3 linked regions of the Lepisosteus oculatus genome follow. The protein of the gene in region 2 interacts with the protein of the main gene of each other region in a biochemical or structural test. Links are inferred from orthologs where the notes say so. Each region holds a gene or a part of one and is shown on either strand. Other genes may lie near its edges.

Region 1 (7,364 bases), on a different chromosome or scaffold from region 2:
TTAAACAAATACACAAGCTCTTTATTTCATGAGCCATACATATACTGTATGATGTTCACTAATGCATATGAAACACACCCATCATACACTAATGACCTACCCCTATAGGGCACCATTGATATTGCTGAATTACAAAACTATTAAGTATTTTGTTTTTTTTTGTATTCTACATACCTTTTCTTTACATATTGTTAACATTTTAATATATTTATTTAAAATGTTTTTTTCAAAATTTTGAGGATGCATACAAGGCACAGCCCACTTCATAAGGAATTCACATACCCCAAAAAGGCTTACCAAAGTACTGGTATTCATACCCTTTAAACCTATATAAAAACCTATGTATGTCGTACAAAAGTTTTTGTTTTACTATTTTTGCATTTTACCGAGACCACTTACACATTCATCGCATTCTAGTTCTCCTTGTGGGAATACACATTGGTAGTACATTGGTTTTTCGTACATGAATAAAGTATTGCACTGTAATAAAATAGACTTTTATTCAATGTCTGTGATGAAATCTTTGTTCTGCATATGTACTTTAACAGTATTTTACATTAAACAGATTTTACAACGCATTTGTACTTTCATGTTTTCTATTTTTTTCTAGTTATAAGAATAAACCAAGCATGTCGGCTGAACTCACTACAGTTTTACATTATTGCGGGGAAAGTTCCATATTCTTGATTTTGCAAAACTCCCTTTAGCAGTTTGTCTGTTAAATCCAAAATCTATTAAGCGGAGAGTCAATTATGACCATTATAAGTAATCTTCTTTAACAGATATAATTCACCCTCACATCTAGTCAAAGCAAACAACCACTAACAGCCCTTTTACTCCTCTAGATTTTATGAGTGTGGTATAGCTATATCACAACTGGTTAAAAGGGTTATAAGAATATTGATTTAGTGAGCTCACACAAATGTAGAATAAACTGATTGTACCGGAACGCTGGACCAGTCAAGTTGATGTTGAAATTCTGGCAAAGGGATAATAGTGCCAACAGTTCTACCAACACCTGCTGATCATACCCTTGTCTGTGTGTAACTTGTGATATGCAAGATCCGACAAGATCAGTCCAATGTATTTGAAAGTTAAAAAAAAATTCAACAGTGATGATACGTACCTTGCAATAAGAATCTTCTTCCAGGTTTGCGTCCATGTCTGCATCCAGTTTTCTTCCTAAATGAAGAATTATATTCAGTGAACTTCACACACAAGTTTCTTGATTTCTAAAGTTAACAGATTCTCAAATTTAAATATTTTAATGTAGAAAGAAGAAGCCAGATGCGATTTCAACAACCACAACCATTTACCTTTTGACTTCGCATTCTTCCTTGTGGGGGTATCTGCGTTCAGTGGAATTTCGATATTATCGGAATCGCCACCTTCCTCTTCAATAGCCTGAAAAGTAAACATGACAATGATTCAGTATGAATAAATTGCACCCTCTCACAAATACCTGCAGAACACTACCAAATCACAATGCAACCCTTTAAAAAAAGGATTTTCAAGGAACAGGCAAAAGGGGGTCTCCTTATTGCAAATGCCGGGCAACAAAGTTTATTTATTTTAACCCCTTTGACCTCCGTGATAACGAGTAACAACTGCAGGACACCACCTCAAAACAGCCAAGGCACCAGCATACACAGAGGATACTGAGAAGAGATTAAGCCAAGCTGGCAGCAACAACTCACACCAATAAGACCAGTCTTTCCCTAAAAACCAAACCTCATAATAAATCTGCAGTTTCAAATACGCAAATCAAAATAATGTCTCCATTGTTGAACAACACAAGACACTTGATTTCTGTAACATCAAGTAACTGCATGCTGTACCTTCGCCAGTCCTTTAGGAATGACACCCCCATTTTCTTCTTTTACCACAATCTGGGACAGGGACGACATTCACTGCTGCGTCATACATACCAACACAGAACACCTAAAGGTGAATATCTGGCTTTAAATAACGCATCTGCAGTTATGTAGGACTATGGACGCCGAGAGTCCTGGGATCCTTATTGCAAAACCCGGGTTCGACTTCCCTAAGCGTGCTTGACTCAAATCGCTCCAGAATAGCTGTATACCCTCCACACCGTCATTATAAAGGACCTCGCCATTTCTTTACCTGGTTGATCAGGAAAAAAAACACTACCGAGTGTAAACGAAGCTATGTAGAAGTCGACCGTATAACAAAAAGGGACGTTCATTAAAACGAACTTGTACCTCGGCTCAATTTGCACCCCAGCATCCAATCAAACCTGGCTAGATGAGATAACCGGGCGTTTGTCTTCTTACTTAGGTTTTTCCAAAATTTAAGAAAGCCACACATTATCCGAAGGAAAAGGGGAATGTTTTTGTCAATATTATTGATCTCACTTGAAAACGACTATTAATTCATTCGCGCCTACCACTTACAGGTCTATTCTATAGTAATAAAACAGCCAATTTTTGCGCATATGAAGAATACACAAAGCTTTCTTATTGTCGTTCAATAGAGTATGACCGTATCGTTTTTATTATTTGCAAAACTCCACCGTGTTTCTATATCTACAGAAATTGGAAAGCGAAAGTGACAAACATCCACACACTTGATATCCAGCAACTAAGTATGCATGGTGGGAGGGGAAAACAAGGCCTTCTCTGCAGAAAAAAACACAACAAGATTTTAAGGCCGCTGATAATACAGGCTTACCTGCTTCAGCCTTGCAATTAAGACGTTCTTTACTCCCGTGATGTCCAAATTCCTCCGCTTTAACTCGGTTTTAAGGTCTATGACCCGTAATTCTGTGATTTTCTTAATCTCAGTGGCCACGGCTGCCGACGCCATTTTGCCAAACTGAATGAGAAAGGAAGGTGTTTATGGTTATGGAAACACCGCCAGTTCCCGGATGTTGACGACGCGTACAACGTGATGACGTAAGTATTTTTTTTCTGTAGGATTTGGTTAGAATTTCAGAAATGAATTTTGTCAACGTATTATTCCACTTTTGACCTCTGAAATCCGTGTTCACACAGTATATTAGAGAAAAGAAGGAAGAAAATAAATTAGGCAGTTTTGCGATTTATAATTAATAAAATGTATAGGTATGTTATGCTAGAAAATAGACCAACCTCATTCTTCGGATTATATAGACGTTTACTTTTAAAATAATTAAACATTATTAAATCGGATCTTAGAAAATCGTGAGACAAAAAAGTTTAAAAATAATAAGATTATTTAGAACGACTAAAATATGTGTAATGTTTTTTTTTAATAACAAAGCATCCAAATTGGAATAAGGTATTTCTAACATTTTGATAATTTGGTTACTACGTACTGAGGATATTCTAGCTTTTCTGGAGCACCCCTGTAAATCAGGTCCTATACTGTGACAGCGTGCACATCCCCAGCTCTTTGTCTAAAGATCTGTCACCTGTTTTCACGTCGAAATTCACTTATTCATACTGTACACTTGTGGTCTCCCCAATGCTTTTAATATTAAATATTAAAGAACATGCCTAACCAGAGCTGAATTAACTTGCTTGCAACATTAAATAAAGATAATCGGATGTGTCGCTTCTGTATCTCTATCATAAAGCAGTGTATGAATTCTTCGCATTCACAATTATATAATGTACAGTGGACAATTATTTTGGATATTTTAGTCAAAGATTTTAAAATCTGTGAAGACAATTTCCATTACAGTTTGCTTTTAAAGCCTTTGTCCGTCGACATTAGCATATTTCTGTACCAACATGTGTGGGCTTTTGGAATTGCGAAAACAAGTGGAAATTCTTATTACAGAGATATCGAAATGAAAGAGGCTTATGAAAGAAAGGTCACCTTTTGGTATATCGTGCTTTTTGGGTTATCAGCTTACACATACAAGATGTCCTAGTCCTAGTGGTCCAGCTTCGACAACGTGATTAGACAGATTTTCCAAATGTGAACTGTCTTTTTACAAAATCTATTCAAAAATGTGATTGTTGCTTTACAAAAATGTCACCAAATAAAATTATATATGTAAATTATATAATTAAGAAAATGTAGTTATTTCGGACGTAAATTTAATCTACCTACAAAAAATATTCAAGAAGTCCATATTCAGTATATAATACCAGCTTTCTATTTACATACAATCGTGTCGCTTATCTTACATTTGCATAGGTTCTAGTACAAAACACTTGCCACAAACGACCACTAGTGGGCACAGCGCCTCATGTTTCGAAGACCCCTTGCCCAGGAAAGGGCATGCCGTAAACAGCCTCTACAGTGTCGAAAAGTGTCGTGAAGCGTCCCTCGCTGAAGCGAGGCTCCGGGGGATTGTGCAGAAAACAGATCAGGCAAGCGCAGCTACGAAGAGGAGCTCGCCTGAATAAACAACAGCCCAAGCGAGGCAGGAATGACTGCTTTATCGAGGGCCCAAATGGCAAAAGGAAAGGTTTTCCGCCTTTCTCGAAACCTTAAATGAATCCCGGCCTCAGTTGATAGCCGGGGACTGGGCGGTTGAAGGAGAAAAAAGGCGAATTTAACTAGATCTCCCCCAGTTACAGTATCGGGGCCTTTGGGGCTGTTGTTGGGTTTGTGTTATCACTTTCACAACCAGGCGCTGCTGACGTCCGAGGGTTTCTCTACGCTATTTTATTTTCAGTGGGCTGCCCTCATTTTCAGGTCCTCGCTGAAGGTTTTCGTCAGAAACGGAATCCGTTGGAGAGCAGTGTCGAGTTTGGGGCCTGTTGGCGTGAAAGGTACGTTTTTATTTCTCCTTAACGTTCAGTAGTGGCAGTACTTGATCAGTACGACGAGCTATTTCGGATCAGAGTGCTAATTCAAATGGCTTCTGACTTCGCCTGGGGAAATGGAGAAGGGGGTGGGTGGGTATACGACTATTGAATAAACCGGATTCAGAATTAAACTCGTCTGAAAAGGAGAACCAGCGAGTTGAATTCCTGACTTGTGCCCTTTTATCGCCTTTTTTTGTGTGATAGTTTTAATTTAGAGTATTTTCATACGCAGTGCCCCTGCCCCCCTCCTTTTTCGGTTCGGGCTATTGACAGTGACAGATGGGAAATCTTGGGTAAGGCAGAACGTAGGTTTTTGTTGTGATGTGCTCGATGTTGCGTTGATAAATTGTTCACTTAGGCATGGTCGTTGAGCTTTAGACAATCATTTGGATGTTAAATGCTAATATACAATTGATTGCATTAATCCAAGCGAAATGTTTGTACACGGAGTTAGCTGGTCCGAGCTCGCTCTGGACATGTCCTGCCCCTTGCAACCCAGTTATTGTTCCTTTCTCCTTTAAGAGAGTAATACAGACAGTTAAAAATCCAGCGAGAAAAATGTCCCCACTTCTATAAGACAGTTTCGAATGTCATCTATAGTCTTGGCATTGTAAACTGCTCGGTGTGGAAAGCGTAGACACTAGCGTGTCCCATCGTGATATTTTAAAGAAATCGCCCTGCTCAATCTTCCCTTTTCGTTTCCACTTCTTCGTTCTAAAGCTAGTATTGAATTGTCTTTCCTTCAGCTTCGGCTATTGATCCTAAGTAATAGTCATATAACAATGGAAGAAAGCGCATGATCAAATACCGAAGTTTTAAAGAGGTGCAGAGCACGTTAACCTTCATTTTATCTCGTACAGTTCACGCCGAGATGTACTTGGTGCAGATCTGAAGCTTTTTATATTCGGCGCAATGTTTGTTTGTTTTTTTTAATGTGATTTGTGAAGAAAGTACCAAGTGAATCTTAGAACCGCCTGCATATCCACTGGGTGTGTGACTCTGAAGCCATTTCCTCTAAAAGAAATCGAGTAATACATTTTTTGTTCCGTTTCTCAACGTGAACATCTATGTTCTATCCCGTAGGAGAACTAAGTATAAAGTATACACCCATAAGGTACAAACAGACAGCGGCTGGCGGTGACTGGCTGCTCTGGGGAGCAGTGTGTGCAAGCTGGGACACACAGATACCCCAGGGCTTTCATTTTAACCACTTAGAAGCAAAGGTTTACGGCCAAAACTTGAAAAGTTTGTTTTCTCTTGTGTAACCTTTGCCTGTTAAGACCCCACTTTTCACATATTTGAAAAATTGCCCGGGAACCATACCTAGCAGAACAAATGTTGAGAATATATTCAGAGTATATAGGCCCTTACTTACATTTTGATCTTCCAGACTTAGTTTTAGTTTAATTATGATACAGATAGCTCTTTTATAAGTGAGCAATGACACAGTTGTTACGTTTTCTGTCATAGAGCAACCTTTTTCCAAATAATGTCTTCAGGGGCCCTGGATTCTTGCTTGTGTCATATGTGTGATGCTTTATTTTCTATTTTTAAACAGTTCAGTATTTTAATGTGGTCACTGGTATACCTATAGCTGTATCCAAGATTAGCACCTCTAGTTTATCTTGATGTATGTCAACAGTGCCTCTTCTATTTTAGAAACTTTAAATGTGGTTAGATAACACTCCTAGCAAAACAGGCTAAAGATGTCATCATGCATCACTATATTTAGCAAGGTGGAAAACGCAGAGAAAGAGAAAGTAGAGGGTGTATTATAATTTGTATCGTAACAGGTTCTGCATGTTCTTGCTTTGTGGCACCATTCACACTGGACGCTAACATTGGTGTTCACCAGAACCAGTGCCAGTTTCTCTCTTTGTACTGCTGTCTGGTGAAGGTGAAAAACATTACTAACACAAGGATTGCACTCTACCTGTTTACACACACTGCCAAAGCACCCTTCATAGCCTGTATGGAACCATAGGTGGTTTGTATCAAATATTTGTGCACTTGTCACAATAGGAGTTGGTGTTTGTTCTTGGTGTCACCTCCGTTGCAAAGCTTGGTCCAGCTAGAAGACACCATAAGGCAGGTCTGTGTACCTTGTGGTTTGAGGATCCCAGCTGTGTTAGAATTGAATTAATGGAAGAATGTAAAGAATATGAAATCAACAGCTTTGTAATTGGGGAAACTGGTGTTTATCTTATACAATGTCCATTTATCGATACTGTAAGCCGGATTTCATTAGTCAATTATGAATACACTAAATGGCATCATTAAGAGGAAGCCTATTTAGGATGAAGATCACCATTTGTTTATTATCTTGACCCTGAATTTCAGCATAAGTGAGTTAAGGCATGTGCTGAGTTTCTGTCCTCATCAGTACTTGGTTTTTCATTCTGGATCATTCTGGCAAGTCTCTTTACCACGCACATGTGAGCTCGCTGCAGTTGTGACTTGCGATATTTCTGCACACACAAAAAGTTCTTAGTCTTGCCAGGATCCCGAGTCTGAAAATGAATGGAGTGGTCTTGGCTCTTGCATTGTCAGTGCATAACTCATAGCTTCATTGCTGCCCTCTGTGGAATCCTAAACTTT
Region 2 (7,367 bases):
AGTGGACCTTGCCTTGACATCAGATGGCAGAACCATAGTGTGTTACCACCCTGCAGTGGACGTCCCCTACGAACACACCCAGGTACACCCTGCAGGACATCACCTTCATCATAATAGCAAATCGCGTTACAGGCAGATTGCAACAGAAGGTTTTCAGATCCAGTCAGAGCACCAGCTTGGTGTTTTTCTAGGTGCATTTGTGTCTTATGCACTTACTGTAGGACAGCACCATATCTGATCACCTTCCACCACAATATCAAGACCCACATTGTAGCATTTACTTTTAGATCGTATTCCTTACTGTTGTGATTTCTGTCTTGATTGATTATGCTGATTGATATTTTTCTTCTAAAGTTAATTGACAGTTTTGAATGTAACCTTGTATACAGCTGACGGTTAAATTAAGTAACATCATCAAGTGAGTGAATTCTATTTAAGCACCGTATCACCTTTGGCGCGAGGTCGCTTTTGGTAGTGGATCTTACCATGGTCCTAGGTTTGCGGGTGCCTGTCATGTCATTTGGTTTTGTTAAATTTTCTTGCATCGGGTGGTAAGCTCATTTCAATTATAGAACATTTCCAGGCATGACTTAAATTTGGTATTAAATTTAAATTTAAAATTAATAGCACCCCAGAGTCATGCAATGCAAAGTGCAGCTTCTTGCAATCTGCTGATGCCCAGTCTTCAGCATTAGAAGGCCGGTACCACAGGAAGCAGCTCTAGTAGTGAAAGTGAAACGTGGTCTCTCACTCCTTTCCTGAGATCATTGTTCTGGGGCTGGTCTGCGAGTTACCAGTTTTAGCCAGGGTGGAAAAGAAATGCTCCTTGTAAATTGTAATGCACAACTATGGCCTGTTGGAACGTTATTTTGCAACATTAGCTTCTTCTCAACACTTATGGAATGGAATCTAGATTAAAATCATTTGGGAAATGGCCGCACTGTTGCATTTGTTTGTCTAGAGCACGATGTGTGTCTAGCTCTTTTTCTTTAAATAAGAACGGGTTGTGAAAATGAATACCTCCCAGTGCAATTTAAGCGAATTTTGCTCTTCACAAAACGTCATTGTTTATTATTCCTGGTCTAGCCTATCCCTCAACCAGACCCCCTGAACAGACCTGAGGAAACACATGATCAGGTTCTGAAGGCTCACTTGAATAAAGAAGTTTTGCGAAATAAACAGGCGCCCACCATTGAAGAGCTGAGCAAGATGTTCTACACCACTAAACACCGCTGGTACCCAGTAGGACAGTAAGTACAATATCCTGTAAAGGCCTGAAAAGAATTGCACACTGTTTTAGTTTTTTATTGCTGTGTGCTGTTAGTGTGATATGCTGGTTGCAGAATTAAGGTTAAAATGTACAGTATGCAACAAAGTAGATCATAGTAGATCACAACCTATACATCTGTATGCCTTATGGGGGTGTGGCAATTTCTGATAAATTACATGACGTAATTGCATGTCAGTATAATACTATATTTTTTGTTTTTATATACTATTAATTTTTACACAAAAGATAATCTCTAATGTAGGCTCCCATATTTTTCAGAGTTATTTTAATTTTTATATATAGAATTATTTATTTCTTCCAGTTAATAAAGTACACAGAACTACACATTTAAGTATTGTGTTTTTTGCGTCTGCCTGTGGTATGAAAATTTGAGTAGAAAAATTGTGTGGCAGTCCAACCTTTTTATTTGAAGGGCCCAGTTCCACAAAATGTATATTTTAACTTGGATGGAGAAAGTGATAAAATAGACCTATTCCTCAAATTTGTTTTTAACTCAGTTCAGTCAGATTAAGTGATTTACTTTGATGGATTAATTCTGACAAACAGATTCATGGTGTAGCTGCTGAGTGAGATATTGCACAGAGACCAATTTCTGAAATTTATTTTTATTTCCTCTCAGGTACCACAGGCGACGTAAAAAGACTGACCCTCCCAGAGACAGATAGTCTTGAACACAGCTGACATTCAAGAAATGGTGACATTGTGCTGTCTGTGAAGATGTTTGAAGTCCTCGAATAAAAACTGCAGTTCTAATTGCTTTACTGTATGTTTTGCAAATGATTTTGAGTGCTGTCCTGAAGATCCTTTGAAAATATGTCCATTCTCTAGGTCATGAAAGTAACAAGAACATTCATTTGACACTCATTTAACAGCTGTTAAAAGGCACACAACATTGGAACCACAAACAATGAAGCTAGGATATTTTAAAATATTATAAGGAAACTTATAATTTCCTTCTAATTCTTCTGTAATATACTGTACATAACATGGAATTAGTACTACTGACCTTCTTTGAACTATTATTATTTCTCATTCCTGTGCAAAATCCTATTTTAGATACGAAATGAATGGAATACCTCAAGTTATGAGCCACCTCTTGTTATGATGACATATGTGAATTCAGAAAAATATCTGATCACTTTCCAAAGCAACTTACGTGATTTTTTGTGAAATGTGTGACTGCAGTTCAGTGAGATCTCACAAAGTGGTAGTAAATGATTACCAACACGTGCTTATACATAAATGACTTGGCTGAGCTCTGCAATGTGATTCTTTACTACACAATGGTGGATTGTTTATTTATTTTATATATATATGTAGCAGTGGTTAGAGGTCTAGATGGTGAAATTCACATTGTAGCTTCAAATATGATTCAAGACACTGCTGTTGGACTATTTATTAAGCTGTTTCACCCAAAATACTTCAGTTTTATACTCTGCTGTATGAATGGATACATGTGCAAGTCATTTTAGATTAAAGGCAGCCAAGTAAATATTTATCTGATCCCTCCTTTAAATACGTACACTGGCCAAAATACTGATTTTCCTGATTTGATCTGACTGGTTCAAGTGCACTTCAAGTTCAATGAGCTGTTACAAAATTGTTGTGGTTGTCTGAAAGATTTAAGCTTAAGATATATATGGTTTAGTTAATTGTAAGCATCTACAGTCTTTCTGTCCCTCAGCATCACAGTGTATAGCCTACTCAGGCAGTGCAATATAGTTGCTATATACTTGAAAAACACCAAAATCGTTCCTTGACAGCATATAAATAACATGCCAATCGAATTAAGAGTACTTAAGTTTTAGACATTTGACCAAAAAAAAGGTCTAGAAGAGAAATCTGAGAATTCCTTACCCCCATCTGAAAAAATTGCGAGATATACTTGCTCTGAAACTGTTTTTGTTTACAGGAGCCAAAGTATTGGTGGCAGTCTCTCGCAGATAAAACTAGAAAACTTCTGAGAGGATAAGTGCACTTTATAAAATGTTCAGAGGAGAATGGCATGCGGTTGAGAAAAGGAATGTAAGGACAGTGTGACCGGGTGAAGAAAGGATTTTAGAAATGTCAGGAGAGAGATGGAAATGAAAAATGGAATTGAGGCTGAATGTAAATGTTTATTTTTCTAGCATGACAACAGAAAATTAACTGGCTCTGAGGGAACGGAAAGTTTTAAATGAGGGAAGAGAAAAGGCTGATGTATTAAAGGAATATTTAAGTCGAGGAATTTTAGTCTTTTAAGTGGAAGCACTTTAAAAAAATCTCTTTTACCCACTGTACTCAAGAAGAAACACAAGCTGATATTTGCAGGCCATCAACAAAACTTAAGTCCATCTCTCAAGGGTCATACTTATTTTATAACCCCCATCCATTAAAAGGAAGAAAGACATAATGTGATAAAACTGTACATAGGTTCAAATAATTACCTAATAATTACTGCCAAATATATACATATGATGAAAAACTGATTAAAAATGAAAAAATATTTCTATATGAAGCCAGTTTACAAACTAGTTCAAGTAGGTAGCTGCGTCAGCTGCAAAGAAATAAAGGTTTATTCCATGCTGAGAAGAGAAGGAGACACAACGTTGCGTTTTATATTATTATTTAATGTAAATAATATTAATTATATTATTTATATTAATTATTAATTATATTATTTATATTAAGATTATGATCTAGCAGATATTTTGTGCTGCAATTATATTCCTTATAAGGAATAATATTCTGTATTATTCCTTATATGCCGTGGCTGTAGTGGTAACTATAAAACTGCCTTTTTGCGGGGAAATTCTAAGACGTCAACATAAGTGATGAATATTAGCTTTCACATCACAGAAGTCCTCTAAACGTCAGTTATTGATGTGCATTTTGGGTCCGTTTAATGCATTATATGGTAGTTAACAGTTGTAGCTCGGCGTGGAGTACGGGAGTGATCCACCTAGGCGTCTGTCGGGACGTGTAGTTCATTTCATTTGACGTCTCCCGGCGTGTACGTAGCCGCTCAGCCCCCGGACAACTACATTACCCGGCATGCATGCGGGGAGGCAGTGCTGGCATTCACCGGAAGAGCCGTGCGACTGCGCCCTAGCGCCGTGAATGCAAGTGAGAGGAGAAGCAGCGAGAGAGTCAGAGCTGAAACCGCATTACGACAAGATGGCAGGACTGCCCCGCAGGATCATCAAGGTAAGCCGCTACAGCTTTCTGCACTAAACCGTAGCGTACTGGCAGCTCTCTTGCCCCAAGGGGGGACGGGAAAATAGTGAGCAAGCGGCTCCCGCACGGCTAAGTAGTCTTGCAATACGAGTATTTTCCCCGGCTACTTCCGCTTATTCTCTGCTCCAAGCCCGAGTGCCCGACTGAGGCTGGGTTAAAAATACCTCCTCCCTGGTTAAAGATGGCGGAGAATCGGGGCCCTTGTCGTCTTACGAAGGACTGTTGGCGGTTTAAAATGAGCGGAACCGGGTTTTTTTTCTCGCAGCAGCAGATCAGACCTCCCACTCCCCGCTCCCCGAGCCGTGCAGGCAAGCGCCATGTGTAGGCCATCTGAAAATGTCATCGAGAGCTGCCGTGGAAAAAGAGAGGCGGGGGGGTGGGTGACTTGAGCAGCCGTTTAGCAGTCGGGCGTGGAGGGGTATTTGATCTGATCGCGCCCCGAGATGTTTGCCAGCCGCTCCCGGCGGGTCGTGTTTGCAATCGGGAGGGGAGGGAGGCGGAAGAGGGGACAGGCCGGCGCTCGGGTCCCGCTCCTCCGCCTGCGCAGGGCTTCCCCTCCAGGGCTAAGGCCTCGGTCATGGGCGGGATCTCGCCGCGCAGGGCCCATAGAAATGAATGAGATGGGAGAAGCGAGTTTTCGGAGATGGGTGTGAGGGGAGGGCAGGGCAGGGCGGGGGTCAGCACGCCGCGGCTGCCGGTGCTGGGAGGACATTTCGCCCGGGCCTTGCCGATCCGAGCTGCTTCGTGACGATCTTTATCGTCGCGGCCTTTTGTTGGAGGCACTGCCGTGACGCTTGTGGCGAAAAAAAAAAAGGGTGGGGGTGAAATGACGCTAGCGCCTACCCGAATCGGGTCTGGTGCCGCATCAGGATGGTTTAGCTAGTGGGTAGTGGGTGCAGCGCGCTGGAGAAGCGTCTAAGAATGCCCCTCTAGCGACGTGAATTTCAGCACCGTGTAGAGCACTCCTACGTTTCATCTGGTAGAAAGACGTGGGTGTTAAAAAAACGCAGCAGGACCCCTATAGCTGCCGAGGAACGTTTCATTTTAATTTCTCGAGGAGGGTGTTCAGCTCGCCTCGGCCCGTCCAGGCGGTCTGGTTGCTGCTAGCAAATTAATCCGGGGCTTTCGGACCTGTTGTTGGAAGAACAAGCAGCTCCTTTTAATCAGGGCTGAGAGTAATTCGTTTTCTTTTTCAGATTTAAAAGCCCTTCACATGCGCATAAAGCACTGAACTCTGTAGCTGTAGACGAAATTCTAATGTGTGCGGTCTCTTCATGGGTACTAGCAGGTGATCATGGGTTTCATATAAAATCTTCCATCATAACACAATTCCAGGAAGTGAGGCAGCAAATGCAGTTCAGTTTCTCTCTCGTTGTAAATAGTTCATTGTCCCCAACAGTGCCAGTATGCTTAATAATGTGAAACCTGGATTTGTTTTATACTATTCAGCTCTTGTGCAATTGGTATTCTGCTACCGCATCGAAGAGTGCTCAGTGAAAAGCTGGTTGTGTTGGCAGATTTGTAAGCGTTGCGTTTGCTTATTGAGGCACGTAGTGATTGTTTTTTTTTAGGTCTGGCAGAGTGAGGAGGTGTGGTTTTGTTGACTTAGCCCTTGTAGATGGCATCAGTTGTCTCTTCCTGTGTAGAATGGAATACGTGTACAGAAAACCTAACTCCTTCACAATTATCTTCACTTTGAGTTCCATTTATCCCACTGCGTTATCTGATGCAGGGTCACACGGACGCCAGAACCATCTCCCGGAGTAAATTAAGGGAAATGGTGTTTCTTAGATGCTGAGTTGCATGACTTTCTGTGCTGTTCTGCTGAAGGAAATTATATTTGCAGATCTGACAATCACGCAATGTGTGCTTGCTGGTTAGAGCCAATTCACAGTGGAACTAACTGAATATCACCGTAAGACCATTTCATTACAGAAAGCCTTGAGGTATAGTTTTGGATTAAAGGGAGTTAAATCCAGGAAAGGTGAAAAATCCGGGCTAGGTAATGTTTACTCCCTTAAATACTTAATTTTAACTTGCATTTAGAAACCACAGAAGGTTCTGGATTTTATATTGAATTAGAATAGAAAATCTGAGACAAGGCTTGAAATCTGTTATTGTGGTATGTGAATCACTGCCTCTTTGTGTTGAAAATGACTGATGTACAGCAGTTAAGCACTGCAGTGCTCTTTAGTGCAGAGAGGGCTTACAGATTCTTGTGCAATGCATTTAATGAAATGTGTTGGCTGATCATGAAGTACAGGTTTTTACTGTGCAACATCCCTACTTGGTGTGAGTCGCTATTAGTTGTTGGGGTCTTTAATTTTATTCCTAAATAACTCCAAAAAAGGTGTGAGACCAGGTGCATTGGGAGGCAGGTAGAATGATTCTACAGCATCATAGTGAGGGAGTGTCCCTAAGCATGAGATTTTTTAAAGTTGTTTGAAGTATTTTGTGTCTTTTTTGGGAAATTTTTTTACATATTTTTGTGATGTCCGCCCACCCGATTTGCAATTGACAGTTGTGCTTTCAAGTCTCAGCTTACAGCTATGAGCCTTGCAGCCATACCCAAGAATGAGGAAATGCTGCCAGACTCCCACAGCCCACCTGCTTTCAAGCTGTTCATATTTTTACACCTCGCAGGCTATGCAGCCTCGTTCAGGAAGTTCAGCATTGGTTGGAGGAGAGGTGCACCCCTCTATGACATCACTTCCGATCTGCAGGTGCCCAGGAGGTTCACAGAGGTCACTTTGAGCTGAGAGAGTCCTGGCCTGACTAACTCCCACCATATCTCTGGCACCTCTTGGCCAGTTTAGCACTGGGCTAGTGACATGACCCAGGTTGGAACAAGTGGCGCTCG
Region 3 (7,874 bases), on a different chromosome or scaffold from region 2:
TGTACCCCACTGTCATCCGGTAACACCCCCGATTCCTCACCCCGTCACCCCCAGTCCTCTCCCTCTCTATACCGTGGAGCTGTACCCCAAATCTTCACCCTATCACCCCATCACCTCCAGTGTTGCTGTCTCTACTGTGGGGAGCTGTACCCCAGTTCCTCCCCCTATCACCCCCCCCTCTCTCTAGTGCCGCTGTCTCTCCTCCAGGGGGCTGTACCCCACCATCAGGGTGGAATACGGGGTGCTGATTCCGTCTCCCTCCTGCCCCCTCTCCCCAGACAGAATGGCATGGGGTGGGTGAGCATGATGGCCCGGCTGGGGGCCATGGTCGCCCCCTTGGTGCAGCTGCTGGGGGAGTTCCGGTTCTTTTTGCCCGGCCTGATCTACGGGGGCGCCCCCGTTGTTTCGGGGATCATCGCCGCCTTCCTCCCCGAGACGCTGGCAGTCGCCCTGCCTGACACCATCCAGGACGTGGAGGAGAGGTGAGGGGTCACGCAGGGGCGCCAGGGAGGGCTGGGACTGTTCTGACGCTGTCGGGCTCCAGAGGAACCTCCTTTTCCAAAAGACTGGACCTGAGCCACCGGACCAGCTGGTCTTATAACACTGGACCTGAACCACGAGTTGTCTCCTGTCCAAGCGTACAGTTCTGGACAACTGAATTATAAATGAATATATAAACTTCTGCTGACTTAATTACTGTTTTTTTAACATTTTAACATGCGTCTCTCCCTGTTCCAGAGCGCAGGGGCAGAAGGCGGCGAAGGCTCCGCCCAAAAAGGAGGAGCTTGTGCTGAAAGAGGTCAAGCATTCGCTGCTGAAAGAGGCCATATGAGACCACGCCCCCAATCACAAATGACCACACCCCATCACTTCTATAAACACTCCCATTGGCCAGTCCTATCGCCTTATTGTCTGTATCCCATATATGCGCCTTGTCCACATGCCAGCGTATTAGATCAGTACCCAGAGTCTCAGGGTGTCAGCATCTCAGAGAGCTGATTGATTTTAAATTTTTTGGCTGCTAACGAGAGGAGGCTTGATCCCAGTGTGGCTCATCTGGTAGTCTAGTAGCGCAATCATTCTAAAATTTTGTTCATCACCTCAACCACCTGCTCCAGACACCCACAACTCTCCTTTGTGTAAAGAACTGCTTCCTGTTCTCCGTCCTAAATGAACGCACGTCCAGTTTCGACCGTCCGGCAGCACGTCTCTGCTGCTCCGCCGAGTCTGGCGCGGTCACCTGGGCTGACCCCCGGGGTTCAACGAGCCGGTGTGCTTCAGCGTGTCAGCGGATGAGTGCGTCTCTGAGTCTGAGTGCGCCTCAGTGTGTCCGCGTGTCCACACAGCGCCTGTGTATCGGTCAGACCACATACAGATACAGAGAAACAGGATCTAAGTAAAGAGGACATCACCTGTCTGAAGCACAGAGAGGGGTGAAGATGTATCCCAGGGGGAGGGAACAGCTCTGTACGGTGACCCTTCAAGAAAGCCTGGAAAGGGATGTTGCTCACTTGCCCTTGTCTTGCCTGGTGTGTCTTTTTCCTGCCTCATGTTTTCAAATCCTAAATAAATAATTTCAATAATCTAGCACATACCCTCTGGCTAAAACTCAGTCTGCTTTTGCTTGGTGGTTTTGAGATTATTTACAGGTACAGCACTGCTGTATGAAATAAAAATAGTGCCGGATTCAGAAAGGTATTCTAAAGATTTAATTTCCTCTAACCAGTATGTATAGAAACGTGCAGGATTTTTCCCTTCACCCGACTGAAGGGGGTGTCTTTCCAAGGAAGCACGTTCCAGAGGTAGGGTTGCCAGCTCTGGCTGACTGTGGGCCTCGGCGAGTTTTATTTTGGGGGTGGGAGGGTTTTCTACAAGCTGGAGTGTCGATAAATAAGACACCCCCACCCAAAAGACTACAATTCCCAACATCCCCGGTCCTGAAGGCCGCGCCGTCGACGTCATATTCCCGTGACGACTCTTATTGCCTTCCGCTAGGAACTGACGGCTGCAGGTTTTACGACTTGAGCACTGGAACAGCGATGTCTGCACTCCTGCGAGGTGTCCTGACCGCCCGCTCGGCCCTGCGGGGACCAGCCATCGCCCAGCGGGCTAGTATTTACACAAAGCCGCCCAAGGAGGCGATCGGCACCGTTGTAAGTGTTCGGGAGTGAGTCTGGGCGCTGGCCCGGGATCCGGAGGGTGTCGCAGCCCGGGCGGAGAGCGCACCCGAGGCCGGGGATGTGCCAGGGGCCTACTTGTAATCGCCCGGAGGTCGACGTGGTGCGAGAAGTAAACAGTTCATGACGCTCAGTTATCAGCCGTAGTTGTGAATTTGGTCCTTCTTCCTGTTTTGCCGTGTGATGCGGGAAGGTCACGGTGTGTCCGGCTGGAGGTCGTTGATTCGGGTGGCGGGTTTAGCTGTCGGGATAACGTGCAGTCTTGGTTTTTAATACGCACACGGCCATCTCCCTAAATAGGTAGTAAGTAATAAGTAATATGGTTAGAAAGGGGGTCAGGGCAGATCGAGACGGTTTATCAGCGCAGGTGTGATGTAACCGGCCGCCTTTAAATAACCCCCTTCCTCTGCTGTGGGGAAAACCGACTCCTGTCGGCTTCGGCCGGAATGGAGACGCGCTCTTCCGCCCACTAACTTCTTACGAATCAGCGCCGAACCTCAGGGCTGTCGGAAGGGGTCCCGGCCGGAGTAGTCCCCGGCCTGCTGGCGCTCACTCTGACAGGTGATGGCTGAAGGCCGGCAGGGAAACCTCCTGCAGCTCCGGGGAATCCCGACTCTAGGCCCTGATCTTTATTCACCTCCCTGGCTCTGAATTGCCGGCTGATGCCTGATTCCTAGTTTTGTGGCAGAGCCTGGCTTTAGGAATTAGCTTCTAGTCCGTGGAGCGCAGCCAGGGATCTCCAGCTTCTCACTGTGCTTTGACCACCATTGTGCGGTCTGTGACCTGTGACCTGTGACCTGTGACCTGTGACCTGTGGGCACACGCCTCTCCTCGGAACACGGCGGGGGGGGTCACCCTTCCCTTTCCTTCCCTGATCCCCCTCGGCTTCTCTGCTCCCTTCCAGGAAACGGCCATCGGGATGTTTGCGTTCTCGCTCGCCATCCTGGGCCCCTCCGGCTGGATCCTGTCCCACATGGAGGACTACAAGAAGAGGGACTGAGAGAGCCCCGGGCCGGGCCGGACTGGACCGGACCGCCGCGGACCCCCAGGGACCAGCGCTCCCCTCCTTCCTCTGCCCCCGTCCGCGGGTCTCCCAGGAGCCGCCCGGCGCTCGCTGCCTCCACGTTGTTGTTGTTGTTGTGATGTTTTGTTTTTTTTGCCCTCTGACGAGTATGTTACAATAAAAGCTATTTAAACTTCCCTCCTGTCCTTGTTTCCCCCCGGAGGGCGCCGTCCGCCTGTCCTGCCCCACTCCACTGTGGGGTGTGCTGGGACACAGGCCTGGCTGCCTGGCCCTTCAGAGTGAACACAGCCTCACTGGACAGCAGCTGCAACAGGCATCTGCTTGCTTCATCAGCGGTTTGGAAGTTCCTTTAAACTGGGGCTGTGCGGTCCTGGAGGGTCAGTGTGTCTAGAACAGGGCTGTGCGGTCCTGGAGGGTCAGTGTGTCTAGAACAGGGCTGTCCGGTCCTGGAGGGTCAGTGTGTCTAGAACAGGGCTGTGCGGTCCTGGAGGGTCAGTGTGTCTAGAACAGAGCTGTGCGGTCCTGGAGGGTCAGTGTGTCTAGAACAGAGCTGTGCGGTCCTGGAGGGTCAGTGTGTCTAGAACAGGGCTGTCCGGTCCTGGAGGGTCAGTGTCTCTAGAACAGGGCTGTCCGGTCCTGGAGGGTCAGTGTGTCTAGAACAGGGCTGTCCGGTCCTGGAGGGTCAGTGTGTCTAGAACAGGGCTGTGCGGTCCTGGAGGGTCAGTGTGTCTAGAACAGGGCTGTCCAGTCCAGTCCTGGAGGGTCAGTGTGTCCAGAACAGGGCTGTGCGGTCCTGGAGGGTCAGTGTGTCTAGAACAGGGCTGTGCGGTCCTGGAGGGTCAGTGTGTCTAGAACAAGGCTGTGCAGTCCTGGAGGGTCAGTGTGTCTAGAACAGAGCTGTCCAGTCCTGGAGGGTCAGTGTGTCTTCAGAACAGAGCTGTGCAGTCCTGAAGGGTCAGTGTGTCTAGAACAGAGCTGTCCAGTCCTGGAGAGTCAGTGTGTTAAGAACAGAGCTGGCCGGTCCAGTCCTGGAGGGTCAGTGTCTAGAACAGAGCTGTCCAGTCCCAGTCTTGGAAGGGCAGTGTGGGTCACACCTCCCCTGTCCTAGACACACTGACCCTCCAGCACTGGACAGCTCTGAGCAGGAATCCCTCACAGAATCCCTGCAGAACACTCCTGTTTCTCTGCAGCCCCTCACGGGGCTGGTTCAGTTCAGAAGCACCACACACTCTCACACAGTGCGTCATCGCTCAGAGGAAACCGCTGTTTTTACTCACCTCGGCCCTGTGTTTGGGTTCACACTGCCCTGCACCGGGAGATTAAGCAAACTGTCCAACTGAGATTTACACCATTCCTGTCTCATTCCCTACCAATCGATGCTTCAACCCGTTTAACTCAGTATTTGTCCACTCGAAGCTGTCGAGGGATACTAGGTAAAAGCTATGTTTGCGCGATAGTATAGACGACCGTTTTCTTTTTCAGTTTTATTGAACATCAGATAATACAAGCGAAGGAGAAGAGGTTTCAAGCGGCACAATACAGCCGTGAGCTATCGCCATGCAAACCCCGGTGACGTCATCCCCGAGCGATCCCCAGCAGCCTGACCCGGAAGCTGTTGGAGAAGAGCGAGACGCCGGGGGGAGGGGGGTCAGACAAACAGGACCGGAGAGGAAAGATGGCGGAGGAGCAGCAGGAAGCGACGCAGGGAGAGATGGAAGGTAAGAAACGGGCGAAAACGGGGACGGGAACGGCCGGCCGGCTCTCTGCAGCCCCCGACGCGGAGCTCCGCTCAGACGGCCCAGCGGTGAAACCCGAGGCCGGGGACTGAACGGGGCAGCAGGCCGCGAATCTCCGGTCTGAAAGATGGAGGGGGGGCTGCCGTTTACATGGAAACCGGAGAAGAAAGACAGGAAGGGGGACAGAGATGGAGGGATGACATTAGGAGGGGAGGGAGGCCGGCAGAGCGCCAGACCGACGGGGTGACAGTCTCCGATCCGGGGATCAGGCGGCTCTGGGTTACTGGGGGTTTGTCTGTGAGCCGACCCGACAGACCCGATCAGTGACACTCGACCGCGAACCCCGAGAGGGAGAGAGAACTGAGCGAGTTACCCCAGCCCAGCCGTCTGAACCCAGCACACTGCACCGGGGTGTCCAGTGGGGTCAGCGCTGGGGGTCACACTGCACCGGGGTGTCCAGTGGGGTCAGGGCTGGGGGGTCACACTGCACTGGGGTGTCCAGCGGGGTCAGGGCTGGGGAGTCACACTGCACCGGGGTGTCCAGTGGGGACAGTGCTGGGGGGTCACACTGCACTGGGGTGTCCAGTGGGGTCAGGGCTGGGGAGTCACACTGCACTGGGGTGTCCAGTGGGGACAGTGCTGGGGGGTCACGCTGCACTCGGTTGTCCAGTGGGGTCAGACTGCACTGGGGTGTCCAGTGGGGTCAGTGCTGGGGGTCAGACTGCACTGGGGTGTCCAGTGGGGTCAGTGCTGGGGGTCAGACTGCACTGGGGTGTCCAGTGGGGTCAGTGTTGGGGGTCACACTGCACTGGGGTGTCTCGTGGGGTCAGTGTTGAGGGTCACACTGCACTGGGGTGTCCCGTGGGGTCAGTGTTGGGGGTCACACTGCACTGGGGTGTCCAATGGGGTCAGTGTTGAGGGTCACCTTGCACTGGGGTGTCCAGTGGGGTCAGTGTTGGGGGTTAAAGTGTACTGAGGTATCTGAGGTATCGGGGTCAGTGGACAGATGTCTCGGGGTCAGTTGGTCAGTGGACGGGTGTCTTAAGGTCAGTGGGTCAGTAGATAGATGTCTCGGGGTTGGTGGGTCAGTGGACGGGTGTCTCGGGGTCAGTGGGTCAGTAGATAGATGTCTCGGGGTCAGTGGACAGGTGTCTCGGGGTCAGTGGGTCAGTAGATAGATGTCTCGGGGTCAGTGGACAGGTGTGTCGGGGTCAGTGGGTCAGTAGATAGATGTCTCTGGATCAGTGGGTCAGTGGACAGGTGTGTCGGGGTCAGTGGGTCAGTAGATAGATGTCTCTGGGGCAGTGGACGGGTGTCTCGGGGTCAGTGGGTCAGTGGGTCTGTCAGAAGTGACCCCGTCTCTCACTCTTTGTGTCCGCAGGAGTGAACTGCCTGGCCTACGACGAGGCCATCATGGCCCAGCAGGACCGTATCCAGCAGGAGGTGAGTCCGCCCGCCACGGGGCCCCTTTGGAATCTGCTGCGATCCCCTGGGATCTGTTTTGGGAAGGATCAAGCGGTGTGCCTCTGAGGTGGGATATTCTTGGGATACGGAGTTTCCCTTGGGGCCCGGCCAGCTGGGTGGCGTGAGCTCCGTGCGCTTGGCGTGCTCGGTGTGTTCGGCGTGGTCAGTGCTCGGGCCGGGCTGGTCCGGGCAGCTGCAGGGAACAGGGATTGAGGAGGCAGGGAGGATGGAGCCCGTGCTCCAGTCTCCCTGCAGAGTTAGTGCTCAGTACAGGACAGCCGTAGGACAGCCACTGGTCAGCCGTAGGACAGCCATTGGCCAGGTGTAGGACATCGGTAGGACAGCCGTTGGTCAAGCGTAGGACATCGGTAGGTCAGCCGTTGGCCAGGCATAGGACATCGGTAGGACAGCCGTTGGTCAAGTGTAGGACATCGGTAGGACAGCCGTTGGCCAGACGTTGGCCAGGAGTAGGACATCGGTAGGACAGCCGTTGGCCAGACGTTGGCCAGGAGTAGGACATCGGTAGGACAGCCGTTGGTCAAGCGTAGGACATCGGTAGGACAGCCGTTGGTCAAGTGTAGGACATCGGTAGGTCAGCCGTTGGCCAGGCGTAGGACATCGGTAGGTCAGCCGTTGGCCAGGCGTAGGACATCGGTAGGACAGCCGTTGGTCAAGCGTAGGACATCGGTAGGACAGCCGTTGGTCAAGTGTAGGACATCGGTAGGACAGCCGTTGGCCAGACGTTGGCCAGGAGTAGGACATCGGTAGGACAGCCGTTGGTCAAGTGTAGGACATCGGTAGGACAGACGTTGGCCAGGAGTAGGACATCGGTAGGACAGCCGTTGGTCAAGCGTAGGACATCGGTAGGACAGCCGTTGGTCAAGCGTAGGACATCGGTAGGACAGCCGTTGGTCAAGTGTAGGACATCGGTAGGACAGCCGTTGGCCAGACGTAGGACATCGGTAGGACAGCCGTTGGTCAAGCGTAGGACATCGGTAGGTCAGCCGTTGGCCAGGCGTAGGACATCGGTAGGACAGCCGTTGGTCAAGTGTAGGACATCGGTAGGACAGCCGTTGGCCAGACGTAGGACATCGGTAGGACAGCCGTTGGTCAAGTGTAGGACATCGGTAGGACAGCCGTTGGCCAGACATTGGCCAGGAGTAGGACATCGGTAGGACAGCCGTTGGTCAAGCGTAGGACATCGGTAGGACAGCCGTTGGTCAAGTGTAGGACATCGGTAGGACAGCCGTTGGCCAGACGTAGGACATCGGTAGGACAGCCGTTGGTCAAGCGTAGGACATCGGTAGGTCAGCCGTTGGCCAGGCGTAGGACATCGGTAGGACAGCCGTTGGTCAAGTGTAGGACATCGGTAGGACAGCCGTTGGCCAGACATTGGCCAGGAGTAGGACATCGGTAGGACAGCCGTTGGTCAGGCGTAGGACATCGGTAGGACAGCCGTTGGTCAGGCGTAGG

Evidence for each region. The genes of interacting proteins can lie anywhere in the genome.
Region 1: the proteins of ubiquitin-conjugating enzyme E2 N (region 2) and rnf111 form a complex in vitro, tested with the Homo sapiens proteins (4 studies listed by BioGRID). The link is inferred for Lepisosteus oculatus from reciprocal best matches to the Homo sapiens genes UBE2N and RNF111.
Region 3: the proteins of ubiquitin-conjugating enzyme E2 N (region 2) and ubiquitin thioesterase OTUB1-like form a complex in vitro, tested with the Homo sapiens proteins (6 studies listed by BioGRID and IntAct, with this or other methods). The link is inferred for Lepisosteus oculatus from reciprocal best matches to the Homo sapiens genes UBE2N and OTUB1.

Annotation. Positions count from the first base shown.
Region 1 is NC_090700.1:46,404,308-46,411,671, forward strand, and holds the start of rnf111 (E3 ubiquitin-protein ligase Arkadia), read left to right. Parts: upstream 1-4,300; 5' UTR 4,301-4,730; intron 4,731-7,364. Other genes in the region: sltm (SAFB-like transcription modulator), read right to left, coding at 1,127-1,182, 1,317-1,404, 2,695-2,829. UniProt on the Homo sapiens protein: E3 ubiquitin-protein ligase. Required for mesoderm patterning during embryonic development. Acts as an enhancer of the transcriptional responses of the SMAD2/SMAD3 effectors, which are activated downstream of BMP.
Region 2 is NC_090702.1:52,389,821-52,397,187, reverse strand, and holds the start of ubiquitin-conjugating enzyme E2 N, read left to right. Parts: upstream 1-4,359; 5' UTR 4,360-4,390; coding exon 4,391-4,477; intron 4,478-7,367. Other genes in the region: mrpl42 (large ribosomal subunit protein mL42), read left to right, coding at 1-82, 1,087-1,250, 1,911-1,956. UniProt on the Homo sapiens protein: The UBE2V1-UBE2N and UBE2V2-UBE2N heterodimers catalyze the synthesis of non-canonical 'Lys-63'-linked polyubiquitin chains. This type of polyubiquitination does not lead to protein degradation by the proteasome.
Region 3 is NC_090713.1:22,664,879-22,672,752, forward strand, and holds the start of ubiquitin thioesterase OTUB1-like, read left to right. Parts: upstream 1-4,810; 5' UTR 4,811-4,876; coding exon 4,877-4,919; intron 4,920-6,318; coding exon 6,319-6,380; intron 6,381-7,874. Other genes in the region: slc22a6l (solute carrier family 22 member 6), read left to right, coding at 1-19, 279-482, 739-832; cytochrome c oxidase subunit 8A, mitochondrial-like, read left to right, coding at 2,040-2,153, 3,082-3,177. UniProt on the Homo sapiens protein: Hydrolase that can specifically remove 'Lys-48'-linked conjugated ubiquitin from proteins and plays an important regulatory role at the level of protein turnover by preventing degradation.